3 linked regions of the Sus scrofa genome follow. The protein of the gene in region 1 purifies or fractionates together with the protein of each later gene. This does not show direct contact. Links are inferred from orthologs where the notes say so. Each region holds a gene or a part of one and is shown on either strand. Other genes may lie near its edges.

What was found.
Region 2: the proteins of DIS3L (region 1) and EIF4E2 purify together in Homo sapiens (affinity purification with mass spectrometry; 3 studies listed by BioGRID and IntAct, with this or other methods). This does not show direct contact. The link is inferred for Sus scrofa from reciprocal best matches to the Homo sapiens genes DIS3L and EIF4E2.
Region 3: the proteins of DIS3L (region 1) and HBS1L purify together in Homo sapiens (affinity purification with mass spectrometry; 5 studies listed by BioGRID and IntAct, with this or other methods). This does not show direct contact. The link is inferred for Sus scrofa from reciprocal best matches to the Homo sapiens genes DIS3L and HBS1L.

The regions. Positions count from the first base shown.
Region 1 is NC_010443.5:164,308,280-164,313,804, reverse strand, and holds the start of DIS3L (DIS3-like exonuclease 1), read right to left. Parts: upstream 3,686-5,525; 5' UTR 3,283-3,685; coding exon 3,144-3,282; intron 2,660-3,143; exon of another isoform or gene 2,009-2,659; intron 1,840-2,008; coding exon 1,686-1,839; intron 1-1,685. UniProt on the Homo sapiens protein: Catalytic component of the RNA exosome complex which has 3'->5' exoribonuclease activity and participates in a multitude of cellular RNA processing and degradation events.
Region 2 is NC_010457.5:133,073,713-133,078,529, reverse strand, and holds part of EIF4E2 (eukaryotic translation initiation factor 4E type 2), read right to left. Parts: intron 3,486-4,817; coding exon 3,381-3,485; intron 1,537-3,380; coding exon 1,384-1,536; intron 1,287-1,383; coding exon 1,150-1,286; intron 832-1,149; coding exon of another isoform or gene 765-831; exon of another isoform or gene 1-764. UniProt on the Homo sapiens protein: Recognizes and binds the 7-methylguanosine-containing mRNA cap during an early step in the initiation. Acts as a repressor of translation initiation.
Region 3 is NC_010443.5:29,040,837-29,045,653, forward strand, and holds part of HBS1L (HBS1-like protein), read left to right. Parts: intron 1-1,180; coding exon 1,181-1,271; intron 1,272-1,699; coding exon 1,700-1,808; intron 1,809-4,817. UniProt on the Homo sapiens protein: GTPase component of the Pelota-HBS1L complex, a complex that recognizes stalled ribosomes and triggers the No-Go Decay (NGD) pathway.

The DNA.
Region 1 (5,525 bases):
TTACCTTCTTGTTTCTTTCTTTTTTTTTTTTTTGCTATTTCTTGGACCGCTCCCACGGCATATGGAGGTTCCCAGGCTAGGGGTCGAATCGGAGCTGTAGCCACCGGCCTATGCCAGAGCCACAGCAACGCAGGATCCAAGCCACGTCTGCAACCTACACCCCAGCTCACGGCAATGCCGGATCGTTAACCCACTGAGCAAGGGCAGGGATCGAACCCGCAACCTCATGGTTCCTAGTCGGATTCGTTAACCACTGTGCCACGTCGGGAACTCCACCTTCTTGTTTCTTGAGTCTAACCTCAACAAGGTAACAGTTTTGTGGAGAGAGGGACCGAGACTTCTTTTTATACTCCTGGAAGCCTGGAAGTAGGAGCTCAAAAAGTGCTCACCAAATGGGAAAACCAGGGTGTTATCCTGTGGGGCCCGGTCCATAACACCTCAGCCTTTGTTTTCACATTTAGCATATTCACAGACACTGTAAGGCAGTGGAAAACCAATAGTTTTCCATCAAGTTAACAACTTTTGAAATGTTCAGGAAGAAAGACATTTAAATTCCAATTCTTTACTTCTGAATGTCCCAGGAATTGGTTTTTAAAACAATCCTTAATATTAAAAATATTTTAGAAAACAGAAATTGAAAATGCTTGGCAGTATGTTAGCCACCTGAATAATAACAACAAATTGATTTTAGTAGCAGAAATTGAAATACGACACCTGGAGCAGCATTTAAACCTGGGTGTATATAAACGTCTATATCTTTGTGTCTGAACAAAATCAACTTCAAGCTCATATAAAAATATTCTATCTGAAAAACCTAGTTAATGCATATTTTTATGAACTCAGCATAAAATAAGGACAACTTAGCATTTTCATACACAAGTAAACACACTTCATCTTTTACTACCAAGATCTGAAGAAACCACAACATTTAAAAAAGGATAAACACATAATTTTTGCTTAACTTGGGTGTTAAGAGATTGGATGTGTAATTCTAATACACTATTTCCCTACAGTCTTCAAGTGCAAATCATCAATCGTTTCCCAATGTTAAAAGAAGGAAAACCATTTTTTTACTGTATTCATGTTTAAAAGGTGAACAACTGTTCTTCATTTAGATACAAGGCAAGCATTTTAGGCTGATTTCAATAAGAAATCCTTTTTTTTTAGCAAACACAGTTTCTATGGTTGCTGGTTATACTAGTAATCTAAAAATAAAAACAAGTTATTTCTGGTTTCACTGAATAAATCACCACCAGTACAATTTAACTCCACAATAAGGGAGCCTAAAATTTAAGAACACTTTCTTTTCCCCCAGGAGGAATAAAACGTAAGCTTCTGAAATAATGTATCTATAAATAAGAAGATTAAATAACACCCGTTTCCAACAAGAAATAAGCAATAGCTCTGCTACTTTAAAAATGCAAACCAAAAGCCAAGAATCTTAAATACCCACATCCTGGGGACACTGCAGTTTATTGATCTACAGTCGCATCTTTTGGCCAGGTGTTGAAGCAGAAATATAAAATAATGTTACTGCATTCCTCACTAGCAAAGAGAATGCCAAATTAGTTCAAAAAGTCCTTTCTGACAAAAATAATGAATTCCCCCCTCCTCTGCCACCAAGGGACCTTTTCTAAAGGGGAAAAAAAATCCTCTCTATAAATAAATAAATAAATAACAGATACCTCCGGCCTCTTTGATGTTGCACAGCTTGACAAGCAGTTTGCATGAAAATAATTCCCTTCAATTCAGGAAATTCAAGGATCTCGAGATAATCTTGCACAACTTTCCAATCTGGGATCATGTAATGAGTCACATCACTAGACAAGAGTTTTCCATCTGAAGCATAATTCAAAATGTGAGAGATTAGACGACGTTCGCAAACCTGGTTTATTTGGATGTCACTCCAGGTGTGCAAAACAACTCCCAATCTTAACTACACCGTGAAGTTTTCAAGACAAGACAAATCTACCTGGGTAGAGGCCAAACATTCAGGTAAATTCAGCACCTTCATTTTTTCTGAAGCTGTGATAAATAAAAGCTCAATGTGGTTTATGGTGTTGCCAGGGGTGTAGAAGACGACGGATTGAAAAAAAAACAACACACATGCAAGCAAGCAAATCTTCAGCATAACCTGAATATATCTCTGTGTTAACTCACTGCCCTACACTCCCATTCAAGTGGGGCTCCCCAAATATACATGTTAATCGCTGTTTAGGCACAGCCATTTCAAACTGGGTCTGTCTCAATCTTGTGAAGGTGCTCAGAAGTCTCCAAGAGCCAGAGAAATTGAATTGACTAGAAAAGATGCTCAGTGCAAGCAGGCACAGTGGTGGGATTTCCACCCAGCCCGTGGGTCCAAGGTGGATAGCCAAGTGGTAATTGAAATGTTCACCTTAACCATTAGCTAAGGATCCCAAATATTCGCTGAAAAGGACGACCACGCTCCTCTCCCACTTCAGGGAAGAGAACCAGGAACCTCCACCATTAAACTGGCCACCTGCGCGGCCTAGACATCATGTGGAGGAAGGCGTGGTGGAAGGCCCACCCCAACCCAATTTCCTCGTGACCTTCCGGTGCGCGGGCCCTGATGAGCCGCAAGTCTTACAGTGAAGAGGGCTCTCCACCGGATAACCTTCTGAGGCCTCGGTGCTGGCAGGTCAGAAAATGTGTGGGGAGCAAAGCAAAGAAATATACAATGAGCAGCGGCAGCGTCAGCTCCCCCCACCAGGCTCGCACAGCTGGGGGCCCCCAGCCCGGGACCTTCCCATTTCACCAGCGCGAGCTGGGGAGCAAGAGCCGCCCGGCTCCAGCGCCCCCAGGCTCAGAAAGCCCCAACCCCCGGCCTCTGCGCGGCGAGGGCGCTGGCCTCTCAGCCCTTCCATTTTCTGGGGCCGAACAGTCGGGAGTCGGTGTGGAAAGACCGGAAGCTTCCGGCCCCTCGTGCCCGACCCGCAGCCCGGCCCGGGGGTAAGCCTGGAGGCGGGAGGAGGCCCGAGGGCCTCGGACTCCGCGCCACCGCGGCCCCGCGCTCCGCCTCTGGGCCGCGCCCTTGAGCCTCAAGGCCGACGCTCTGCCGAACCCGTCCTGCCGCCCTAGCTCCCTCCCGGCCCCGACCGCCCGCGCTCCCGCCGGGCCCTGACCGTTGTGGCAGGAGGCGGGCTGAGGGCAGAGCGGGCTGTTGCAGGGCACGCTGGGCCGCAGGTAATGCTCCCGCACGATCCGCAGCGTCCGGCCCTGGAAGGTCTTCAGGAGCAGCACCTTCTCTCGCTTCTGCAGCATGGTGGTGACGCTCCCCGGGCAGAGCTCCGGGCTCCGGGAGGCCGCCCCGAACGAGCGGCCGGGAAGCCGCGGGCGCAGCGCTGCGCGGGCGGAGGCGAGGCCGAGGCTTCGGGCCCGCCCCCTCGGCCCCTCTTCGCGGGGCTCCCAGCCGGCCGGCCTTACTGGCGGCGGCCTGAGCCCTCTGGGCTCCGGAGGGAAACCGCCCTAATGGCCCGCGTCCCGGGTTGAGAGCAGGAGGCCCGCGGGGTGGGTGCTCCAGCCGGGCCCGCAGGCTCCCTCAACCCCGCCTCAGTTTCTCCCCTCCCTACAATCGTACTGGGGTGGAAATGCCTGGGAGGGGCGGAAACCACGCAGAAGACTTAAGGGAGACAAAGTTAATACAGGTCTTCCTCCACTGACGGTGGCGTTACGTCCTGATAAACCCAAGTCGAAAGTTCATTTAACACCCTTAGTCTACCCAACATAGCTTGGGTTTAAGCTTAGCCTACCTTAGACCCGCTCAGAACACTTACTTTGGCTTACGGTTGGGCAGAATCATCTACAAGCCTATTTTATGACAATGTTGAATGTTATGTAATTATTGAATGCTGTACTGAAGGTGAAACACGAAATGTTTATAAGTGTATCGATTGTACCCCTCGTGATCTCGGACTGTCCAGGGAGCTGGGACTCAGTGGCTGCTCAGCATCACTGGAGTGTCCTGTGGCATATGGCTAGCCCAGAAAAGATAAAAATTCCATGTGGGTGTCACTTTCACACCATGGTAAAGTACACAGATTTTAAGTGGAACTGTGGTAGGTTGGAACCCATTGTAAATGGAAGTAGTTTAGTCTTGTGAAGGTTTGGTACAACTGTAGAGAACTATTATTCTACCCTCTGGTCCATATGGGAATAGGGCCGCCTTATTGATACGGATAATTATTAGTGTTTTGTATTAATATAATTATTTGTGTTTTCTGTTCTTGCTCTTGCCATCCCTGGAAGAACTAAAAGACTGAGCAAATAAGCCAGGAACCCTGCCAGCTAAACATTTTTTTCCTCTTTAAAAAGCTGTATTCATTTTAAATTTCATGTATTTTTAATCTATATAAAAATTCAAACAATGCAGATAAAAATGGAAATCAATCCCTCCTTCCCTTGAGGTAAACGTTATCCATTCAACCTCAACATGAGAGCATTTGCAGCCTCTGGCAAAAGATTTCTCCTTTAAATTTGCTGGATACTAACACAGTCTTTTCTGTGATCACACACCCTTGGTTGTCCACTCTACCTCCAAGCTCTCGACACTTTTGAGCTGCTCCAAGAAGCTTTACAAAGAAGCGTCACATTTAACTGCCACAAGTCAGTAGAGTTGGGCATAATTATTCCCATTTTACAGATGATGAAACAGGATTGAAGAGGTTAAGTGGCCAAGATTACCCAGTTGTTAACTTGTAGAATCAATATTCAAGTCAGGATCTGGCTGAATCCAAAGTAGGCTCTTCACTAATTACTATGCTATCCATAGATGAATGAAATATAGCTCTTTTATCTAAGGAGTTGATGGTCTACTTGTTGAGCTCTAGTTAAGGCAGCTCAACCAGCTGGCTGGATATATTGGAGCTTCCTGCATTGCTAAAGTGAGCAGAACCAGGGCATTCTGTTTGATTACCTTCTCTAGGGGAACATATTAAAAAGTCATGGTCCTTTACTCATTGTATTTTTACTCAATTTATCTGCAGTGTGGGACGATGTGAGATCCGAGATGGAATTGCACAGGTTAGGAGAACATTACAGTGCTGGTCCACAGGCCAGAGCACTAGGAGGGCTCACAAGGCAACCTTCTGTGCAGGAAGCTGTTCCTGATTCAAGAGGTCAGTTCTAGTGATCCCAGAAGACAGAAAATAGGATTTGCCCCCTATGTAAAATGCTTCTGACAGCTGCCCACAATTTCCTCCGAAGCTCTCCCATTTTCATTTCTCTTCTTTTTTTGAATTTTTTGGCTGCACCTGCGGCATGTGGAAGTTCCCAGGCTAGGGGTCAAATCGGAGCTGCAGCTGCCAGCCTACATCACAGCCACAACCACATGAGATCCGAGCTGCGTCCGTGACCTACAATACAGCTCACAGCAATGCTGGATCCTTAATCCACTGAGGGAGGCCAGGGATTGAACCCACATCTTCATGGATACTAGTCAGGTTCATAACATGCTGAGCCACAATAGGAACTCCATTTTTCTCTTCTGATTACATGCCTTTAAGTTC
Region 2 (4,817 bases), on another chromosome or scaffold:
TCACTGCAGGTGGCTCAACGAGCCGCACACAGCCATGGGATACGAAGCACCTCCAGTGGAGGCACTGCCAGTTAAAAACTGGCACTTAGCTGGTTTAAGCCAGCTCCACCCCCGACCTTAGCTGTAAATGCAAGGGGAACACTTCCCAAATGGTCTGCCTGCCGAACACCATCGCTGGGCTCCTGACTAGGAATGCGGTTAATAAGCCGGCATGACGATGAGCTCGTTGCTAAGGATGACGATGAGAGCAACGGGAATGCGAGGCTCCTGAGCGCACCCTCGAGGACCTCCAATTACCAAGACTACATCAGCCTCACAAAAACCCTGTCCGGCCAAGCATGACCCTCTCCCACCTCACAGGTGGGGAACTGAAGCAGAGGGGCAGAGACTTGCCAAAGGCACACAAAGGAGAGAACTAACCTCCCGCTCCTGACTCTTAGCTGGCCAGCTCTCCCTCCAGCTGTGAGAAAACCCTAACCCTCACTGCCCCCAGCGTCTTCATGATAACCCGAATTTGTCTATGACATTCGGTCACTGAAGGCCAGTGACTCCTGTTTGTGGACGTCCAGCTCCACGTCCCCGAGTCGCAGGTGGACCGCAGCGCCTGCTCCCCCTCAGCATGCGGGCTCCCCTTAGGTTCTGCTCTCACAAGCACGCTGTTCGGCTTCCTCTACCATCCCAGCTCTAGACGCAAGGAAATGGAGCCAGCATTTCTGCTGAGAAGTCAATTTCCCAGGACAAAGGTAACGACTGAGGCTGACAGGTCACAAAGGCATGCAAAAGCGGGCTGAGGGGCAGACAGGGGAGGATGTAGTGTTCAGTGGAATTACCCTGAAAATCAGCAAGGAAAAGAAGAGCGCTTTCACTTTAAGACAGTGGTTAGTGAATGAGAGGCACGCCAGCCTGTGTGAATAAAGCCAGCCCAGGCAGAGCAACGGGGAGCTGCAGAGGGGCTCCCGCAGTGTAGGTGGGCAGGGAACCTCGCCAGCCAAGAACTGCTAGGGTGGCCAGAAGTACTAGAGGGGAAGACTGGTCTGTCCCGCCTCCTTAAGTCAGTTTTCCCGCACGACCCCGTTCCTCTGGGCCCAACTGAGGACCTACTTCTGCTAAACTTAGGGAAAGGCCCCCCCGAGCCCGCACGACACGTACTTGATGCTGTCGGTATGGGTTTTGTACTCCATAATGGTGTTGGGAGGTAGGTTAAGCACGCGCCGCAGGGTGTCCCGGATGCGGGCTGTGGTGGCCTGGTCGCTGGCAGTCTTGTTCCAAATGGAAATAATGTCCTCCTAGAGGGGCAGCAACAGAGGCGTCACCAAACCAAGCGGGGCCGTGAGAACGGCAACGGCAACACCCGAGAGCAGCCCGGCCCGAGGGGCGGCTTACCTGAAACCGGACCGAGACCACGGCCCCACAGATCTCCTCCCCAACCATGAACTGTTCCCCCAGCATGGCCAGGATGAGGTTCTCCCAGCAACGGGACGCCAAGCCCTTCCGCAGCCGAATGATCCACTTGCCACCGTTTTTATTTGCATCGTCCTGTAAAAAGAAAGCATCAGAGGTAAAACATGGTTTCACAGAATTCCCGTCGTGGCGCAGTGGTTGGCGAATCCGACTAGGAACCATGAGGTTGCGGGTTCGGTCCCTGCCCTTGCTCAGTGGGTTAACGATCCGGCGTTGCTGTGAGCTGTCGTGTAGGTTGCAGACGATGCTCGGATCTTGTGTTGCTGTGGCTCTGATGTAGGCCGGTGGCTACAGCTCCGATTGGACCCCTAGCCTGGGAACCTCCATATGCCGCGGGAGCAGCCCAAGAAAAGACAAAAAAAAAAAAAAAAGAAGCCAACTGCAGTGGCTCGGGTTGCTACAGCTGCTGTGTAGGTTGTAGCTGTGGCTCGGACTCAATTCCAGGCCCAGGAACCATAAGTACGGCCAAAAAATAAAAATTAAAAAAAAAAAAAAGAAAATATGGTTTCACAGCCTTTTTTTTTTTTTTTTTTGGCCAAGGATGCTTTGGTCACTAAGAAGTCTTAGCACTTTCCAATTACTCAACTCTACAGGAAAAGCGGTGGTAGGAGCATGGAGAGAAGAAATGGGAAAAAAAAAAAAAAAAAGTCCAAACCGTTAACAAAATAATGGTCAAACAGACTCTTTAAAAATAATCTTTTTTCAGAACCACATCAAAATGAAATGATGCCAGATTTTAAACACAGATCATTCCTCACTTCATTTGCTAAAAGTTTATCAAGTGTCACCATGTCCCAAACACACAGACATGAAGCCACAGTCTCTACCCGGACCCAGTCCAGTGAGGGAGCCAGACGAGAGAATGAATGACAGCAGCACAGTGTGACAAGCACCGCTGCGAGACAGACACGCACAGCGGGTTCAAGATGAACGAGACAGTCGCTAACAGCCGGGAGGAAGAAACCTCTGGAGCTGGGTCTTGAGGCGCACGGGAATTAGCCGGGCAGTGCCGGCGAAGCCCCCTGCAGGCACTTGAGACACGACTTCGTGCCAACTCTGCCTGTGAGACAGGGAGCTGCCACCCCGGAGGGAGGATTTAGAGAAGACGGGCAAGGGGTCCTGACAGGTAAACGAGGTGCGTGACCAGGTGTGCTACGGAGAGCTCGGAAGAGCTGCAACTGGGGGGGGTGACCACGTCTGTCTTCTACAAAAAGGCTCTGCCACCGGAATAGAGACGACGGATGAGCAAACGGGTCACAGAGTTCAGCTCTGGGTCTCCAGTTACTGCCTGTAGGCTCACTTTTTCCTCACTTTAATCGTTTGTATACTATGATGATACGCACACACCCAGTTCTATGTGAAGAGAGTGATTTTTTTAAAAAAGCCCTTTAATGTCGTTAATAATACCATTTTAGTACTAAAACAGTCTTTGAAAACCATCCACACAGACAAACAAGGGCATCAGTGCCATTTCCTAGAGGTCCTGGTTCCAAGATATACCAAATAGTGATATAGCTTTTAGAAGACTTTAAAATACCTTTTTTTTTTTTCCCTTTTCTTTTCTCTTTGGGACCATACCCGCAGCATACGGAGGTTTCCAGGCTAGGGGGTCAAATCAGAGCTACAGTTGCCTGCCTACACCACAGCCACAGCCACGGGGGATCCAAACTGTGTCGGCGACCCACACCACAGCTCAGGGCAACACCAGATCCCTAACCCACTGAGTGAGGCCAGGGATCGAACCTGCAACCTCATGGTTCCTAGTTGGATTCGTTTCCGCTGCGCCATAATGGGAACTCCTTTAAAATACGTTTAACCTTGACATGACTGAAAAAAGGGAAAAAACAAAAAACCCCAAACATCATCACCACCACCACAAAACCCGCTGAGAAAGGCAGTCTGAGGCTTTCAGTCCTCACCTCCCACATGGGTTTAATTCCTTCTTTGAAGAGATGGAAGTCACTGTGGCCTGTCAGGTCCCCGGGACGTACCATGTGGCTATAAAACCTCCAGAACTGCTCCACCTGCAGAGAAGACAGCAGAGTAAAAAAGATGTTTCTTCCTTGAATGTTGAGGCATATTTAAGAGAAGAGCATAAACACGGAAGACACTGCTAGAGGCTCTACTTTCTGTAGGATAGATTTCATTCAGGGGCTCATGTGAGAAGGGAGGTGTATTAGATAAAGGCAGACGTACATAAAAGAATAACGCAGTATTGCTGATACAACAGTAAACTCTTTAGGTGAGAAATGCCAGCCTCAGAGAGGAGCCGTAGTTGGTGAAGGTCCACATGTGCCTCCTGCAGAGGCCGCAGGAGAGTCATCGCTCGCTGTAAGAGGACCTTGTTTGACACAATAAAAACTATTTCGTCTTGAGGTAAATTAAGGGCCACAGAACCTCAGCCTGAATGTATTTTTGTTAAAGAACCAAATCACTTCAAAAAAAAGGGGGGGGGGGCGACAGAAGTTCCAATTGTGGCTCAGGGGAAATGAATCCGACTAGTATCTATGAGGCTGTGGGTTCGATCCCTGGCCTCATTCGGTGGGTTAAAGAATGGCGTTGCTGTGAGCTGTGGTGCAGGTGGCAGATGTGGCCTGGATCTGGCATGGCTGTGGTGTAGGCTGGCAGTTGCAGCTCCAATTAGACCCCTAGCCTGGGAACTTCCACAGGCCACAGGAGCGGTCCTAAAAAGCAAAAAACAAACGAAAAAAACAAACAAACCAACCCTACAAAAAAACCCAAGGCCCCCCCCCCCCCCGCCAGTATTAACTGTGTTCGTCAACCAGTCACACTGTGCACATTACCTGCCCACGACTTCTTTACAATTGCAAGTTTGATTAATCAAACTACACAGCAAAGATAGCATTGGCTACAATGAAATACATTTTATCTGTTTAGCTCCTTAGCATTAAGCCACAGAACCAGCCACAGACACCACTCCAAACCATGGTGCCCTGCTAATAAGGCCCGGACAGGCTGAAACCAAGCAGGACTTAGCCTTTTTCACTTAGGGTTCAGGTCCCCCCTCTTCACTAGAAAAATTCTCTTTGCTCCCCCTTCACAGGCCTGTTAGGAAATTAGACGCATTTCTCTATCAAGGGCCTGCTCAGTTATACTCGTCCTGCTCCTCCTGTTTCCCTCACAGCGACGGGACAGGAGAGATGACCTGGCTACTCCTCGGCAAGTCACAGAGAACACCCGCGAGCACTGGCTGGTGAAGCGTGCATTTAGGAGGAAAGAGAAACTGTGGAACAGTCTGAAGACACAGTTGGTGTTTGCCAACACACTGCCGAGGAGGCTCGAAATAAACATGAAGCAAGACTCCATGATGTGCAGCTGAAAACGGGCACCGAGCA
Region 3 (4,817 bases), about 140 Mb from region 1:
GCCCCCTTCTCAGATTAATGCCCATGTGCATCTACATGAAGTTTTGAATAAAACTTCAGGTTGGTTCAGAGCTCTTAAAGTTCTTGAACTCCTCAAAAGTCTTGAAGAAACTCACTTACGAGAATGTTGTATGGGAAGAAGAAGTATTTTCAGAAAGATACGGGTGAATTGTATTTTACTGAAAACATGTCGGTTTTCAGTGGTTGGGCTACCTGCTGTCTTCAGCAGAAGACTCAAATTCCAATGGAAAGGAATTTATGCCACAGAATCAGAAAATATGAGAAACCTTTTAAAAGCCTTTATCCAAATACCTGAGTAGTATTGCCCTTTGCTGTTACACTCCAGGATTATCACTATGTAATAAAAGTATATAGAAACAGCTGTAATATAAGTATATATAGGATCACTTTTAAATTAAGTTTTCTCATGCTATTAATCACCTTTTCATATAACCATTTATCCTTGTGCATCTCTCTCTGGGAAGCAGTTCTTTTGAGCTGGGACTAGTGACAGGCTTGCCGAGAACACCATCCAACTGAGTACTGATTTCCTGTGGGTAACTCGAAGAACACAGGCGATTGTTTAGGTAGTTGTCTGATTAAAGCAAAGCCTAAGAGATTAAAATACTACTGAATACCTTCCCCAATCCCCTCTTTTATGTTATTAAAAATAATTGGGGAATTCTCACTGTGGCACTGTAAGTTAGGATCCAGTGTTGCCCCAGCTGTGGTGTAGGTTGCAGCTGTGGCTCGGATTCGATCCCTGTCCAGGGAACCGCCCTGGCCAGGGAACTTCCCTGTGCCTCGGGTTGGGGGAGGAATTGGAACTCTATGTACTGTTATGCCTGCATCCATTAATGGAAGAGAAGTTTTAGAATGAGGCCTGTTCAATGAATATACCAGTTATGTAAGTGAGTTTAAAAAATCTTGATTAAGTCAAAATCATCCTTTTATGGACAAATGCAAGACACTTTATGTTTAGGGTGGTGGTCCAGAAGAGTCAAGTCTAGAGGAAGTGTGTTTTCCTCAACGCTCACAGCTAACACTTCTCACTCTCTGTCCATTCATATTGAAAATGATGAGTAGTGACTGATGAGGCACAAGTCAGCCAAACTCCCTTGGTTGTTATGGGTTGATATTGAGGTGTTTCACTGTATGCTTTGGTTCTTACTCATTTCCAGGAATCACTCTGCATGATGAACCTGTCGACTGGGCAGCAGCGGGCGATCATGTTAGTCTTACGTTGGTTGGGATGGATATCATCAAAATCAAGTGAGTGAGAAAATGAGTTTAAGCGACCATTGTTTTGGATAGAGAACCTCAAAACACGTAAAATTTGCAATTCACCAGCTCAAATGAAAGAATGAGTATTAATTCTGAATCTCATCTGGCCAAAAATAGGCACTTATGAAAGTATATGAATGATAAACAAAACCTAAAGTTGAAATTAATACACGTCAGTACCTGTACCTGAGACATGTTCTTTGAAGGAAAGCTGTAAGGTATAAAAGTGATATAAGGTTAATAATGGTGTAAAGCCATGCATTAACCCAGAAGGGAATGTTCAGGAAAAGTCCCTAATTTACGTGCTTGCTTTATCTTGTAAATGGCTTTAGAGATATTTCTATTGGATGTGTGTTTCATTCTCTCAAGTGCCTGCTCTCCCTTTTTTGTTTGTTTTTGTTTTGTTGTTGTTACAGTGTTGGCTGCATATTTTGTGGCCCCAAAGAACCCATTAAGGCTTGCACGCGTTTCAGAGCCCGAATCCTCATCTTTAATATTGAAATTCCTATCACTAAAGGATTTCCTGTAAGTTTTAAAACGTTTAATTGTTAACTGTTCTTATAAATTCAGTGTAACTTTATTCCACAATTAGTAACTCACTTTACAAGTGATGATGCTATTGTTACTTTTAACTAATGTTACTCTAATCCAGAAAAACAAGAAATTAGAATTTGAAAATCATTTTATTTTATTTTACTTTATTTTATTTTTTTTGTCTTTGTGCCTTTTCTAGGGCTGCTCCTGCGGCATATAGAGGTTCCCAGGCTAGGGGTCTAATCGGAGCTGCAGCCACCTATGCCAAAGCCACAGCAAGAGGGGATCCAAGCCGCATCTGCGGCCTACACCACAGCTCACGGCAACGCCGGATCCTTAACCCACTGAGCAAGGCCAGGGATCGAACCCACAGCCTCGAACCCACAACCTCATGGTTCCTAGTCAGATTCGTTAACCACTGCACCACGACAGGAACTCCTTATTTTGTTTTTTTATTTTGATGCTTAAGTCTGGGAACTTTTTCAAAGAGACATTGGGAAGAAATTTCATCATCAATAAGATACAAATTGATTATAATAATAAAATTAATTTAGGGAAGGGGTGGATTCTCTTTTGATGTGTTCTAAAGGTTACTTCTTAGATTGGGTCTTTCTGATTTTGTTTTGTTTTAATATGCTTATTTATAGTTTTTCTGATTATAAAAGTAGTGTATTATTATAGAAAATTTTAGAAAACACACAAAAATAAAGATATAATAGGAATGTTCTATAATCATATGACCTATAAATATCCATTCTTTACATTTCAGAGTATTTTTTTGTGTGCATTGTATCCACCTGTTGATATTTATGAGTATGTTCTGGGGATGCTTGACATAAGGTGAACTTCAGTTGTGCTGAAGCAACACATTTAGACCCTGCCTACTGTGAGATTGGTTTGCAGGTTATCATTGACTAACACCACCTGAACATAACACATTTATGGGAAAGGGGGGATTTTATGCTATAATGTTACCTATCCAAAAAGGATACTACTAGTGAATAGCATACGTTCTTTGTTTTATGTGTAATGTTTTTCAGCTCTTTGGGGCCATACTCTGTTTATAGTTTGGTATCTTACTCTTGTCATTTAACAAATGGGCATTTTTTACATTTATACTTACTTTCTTTTCTTGATCAGCTTATATAGTACAGTCTCTTCAGGACAATGAAAAGTATTTCCTGGTGGCATTAAATGGCTTGCCTTTGAAAATATAAACAGATCATTTTCACCATTTGATGCAGCTTTGAAATCAAAGTAAAGCAGTAATAGTAATTGACCTTTAAAGTGTATTTAAATTAGTGATAGTATTTTAAAGGTTGGGAATATATTTATTTAGCTCATTTAAATTTACTTTACGCTTTTGCACCTTTGAGATAACCATGTGCTTTGCTTGTAATCCTTTGTAATTATTTCTATGTAAAATTTGATCCTATAAAATTATACTTGTAAGATATTGTATTTTAGTTTTATAATTATATTCCATTTTTCCCATACGCTAAAGGCTTCTCTCCAAAAAATTGTTATGGTTGAAAATACATTTTTAATATTCAAAAGTCATGTGTCAATAGGCAAGAAATTGCTATGAATGAGTGGCACTCATTCTTAGAAAGCAGTGTGTCCAATGGGGAGAAGCTGGAGAGGTTGATTACTGCGTGTTTTTACTCATGCAGCAATAATTTTTGCCAATGGAGAGGTAGAGAGGTCAGGAGGTTAGTAGTTATTTTGAATAGTAATACTGTCTTCCTGTGTACTGTAGTTTCTTTTATGAATTAAAAGTTTTTTGTGCGCTTTATGAGACTCCACCTGTGTATATTGATTCGTGAATACCAGGGTGAGATTTTTTTTAGAAAAAAAATGGTCACGTTTTGTCATTTAGTCCATTCCCCGTGGGAAGAAACTTTCACAGTTTTTAAATTTAACCAAGAAGAGGCTTTGTAAGCAATTAAAATTTCACTATTTAAGACATAGATATTTTTGTTTCCATTAGTTTATATGGTAAAAACTCTATATATTTAAGAGGAAGAAAATAGAAGAATGGATTAGACTTTAAATTCGTGTTTTGATTTTGATTTTTTATTGTGATAAAATATAACATTTACCATTTTAACCATTTTTAGGTGTACAGTTCTTTAGCATTAAGTACATTCACCTTGTTGTGCAAGTATCCATACCATCTACCTCCAGAACTTTTTCCTTATCCCAAACTCTGTACTCATTAAACAAGAACTCCTCCTAATGACCTTGCCCTCTATCCTCTAGTAAACACAATTCTTCTTTGTTTCTTTATGAATTTGCCTATTCTGCATCCCTCATGTAAGTGGAATCATGCAATGTTTGTCCTTTGTGTCAGACTTGTTTCACTTAGCATGATGTTTTTGAGGTTCATCTATGTTGTAGCATGTGTCAGAATTTCATTTCTTTTTAAGGCCGAATAATATTCCATTGTAAGTATATGTCACATTTTATTCATCCATTCATTTATTTAGCATCTGTTGGATGTTTGGTTTGTTTCCATCTTTTGGCAATTGTGAATGATGCTTCTGTGAACCTTGGTCCACAAATTTCCTTTTGAGCCCCTCCCTTCAATTCTTTTGGGTATATATCTAGAGGTGGAATTGCTTAATCATATGGTAATCTATGTTTAACTTTCGAGGAACCATTAAACTATAATAGCTGTGCCATTTTTAGATTTCCACCAGCAGTACACAAGTGTTCTAATTTCTCCTCTTCCTCATCAACACTTGTTTTCCTTTTGTGTGTGTGGGGGGGGAGTATGATTTTTTTGTTTGTTCATAATAGGCAAATTAATGGGTGTGAAGGAGTCTGTCATCCTGGTTTTGATTTGCATTTCCCTGATAGCTAGTGAGGTTGAGCATCTTTTCATTTCTTTATATATTTGGGGTTTTAATTCCTTATCAGTATATGATTTAGAAATATTTTCTTCCATTCTGTGAGTTGTCTTTTTATTCTTAAGTTTTAATTTTGATGAAGTCCAGT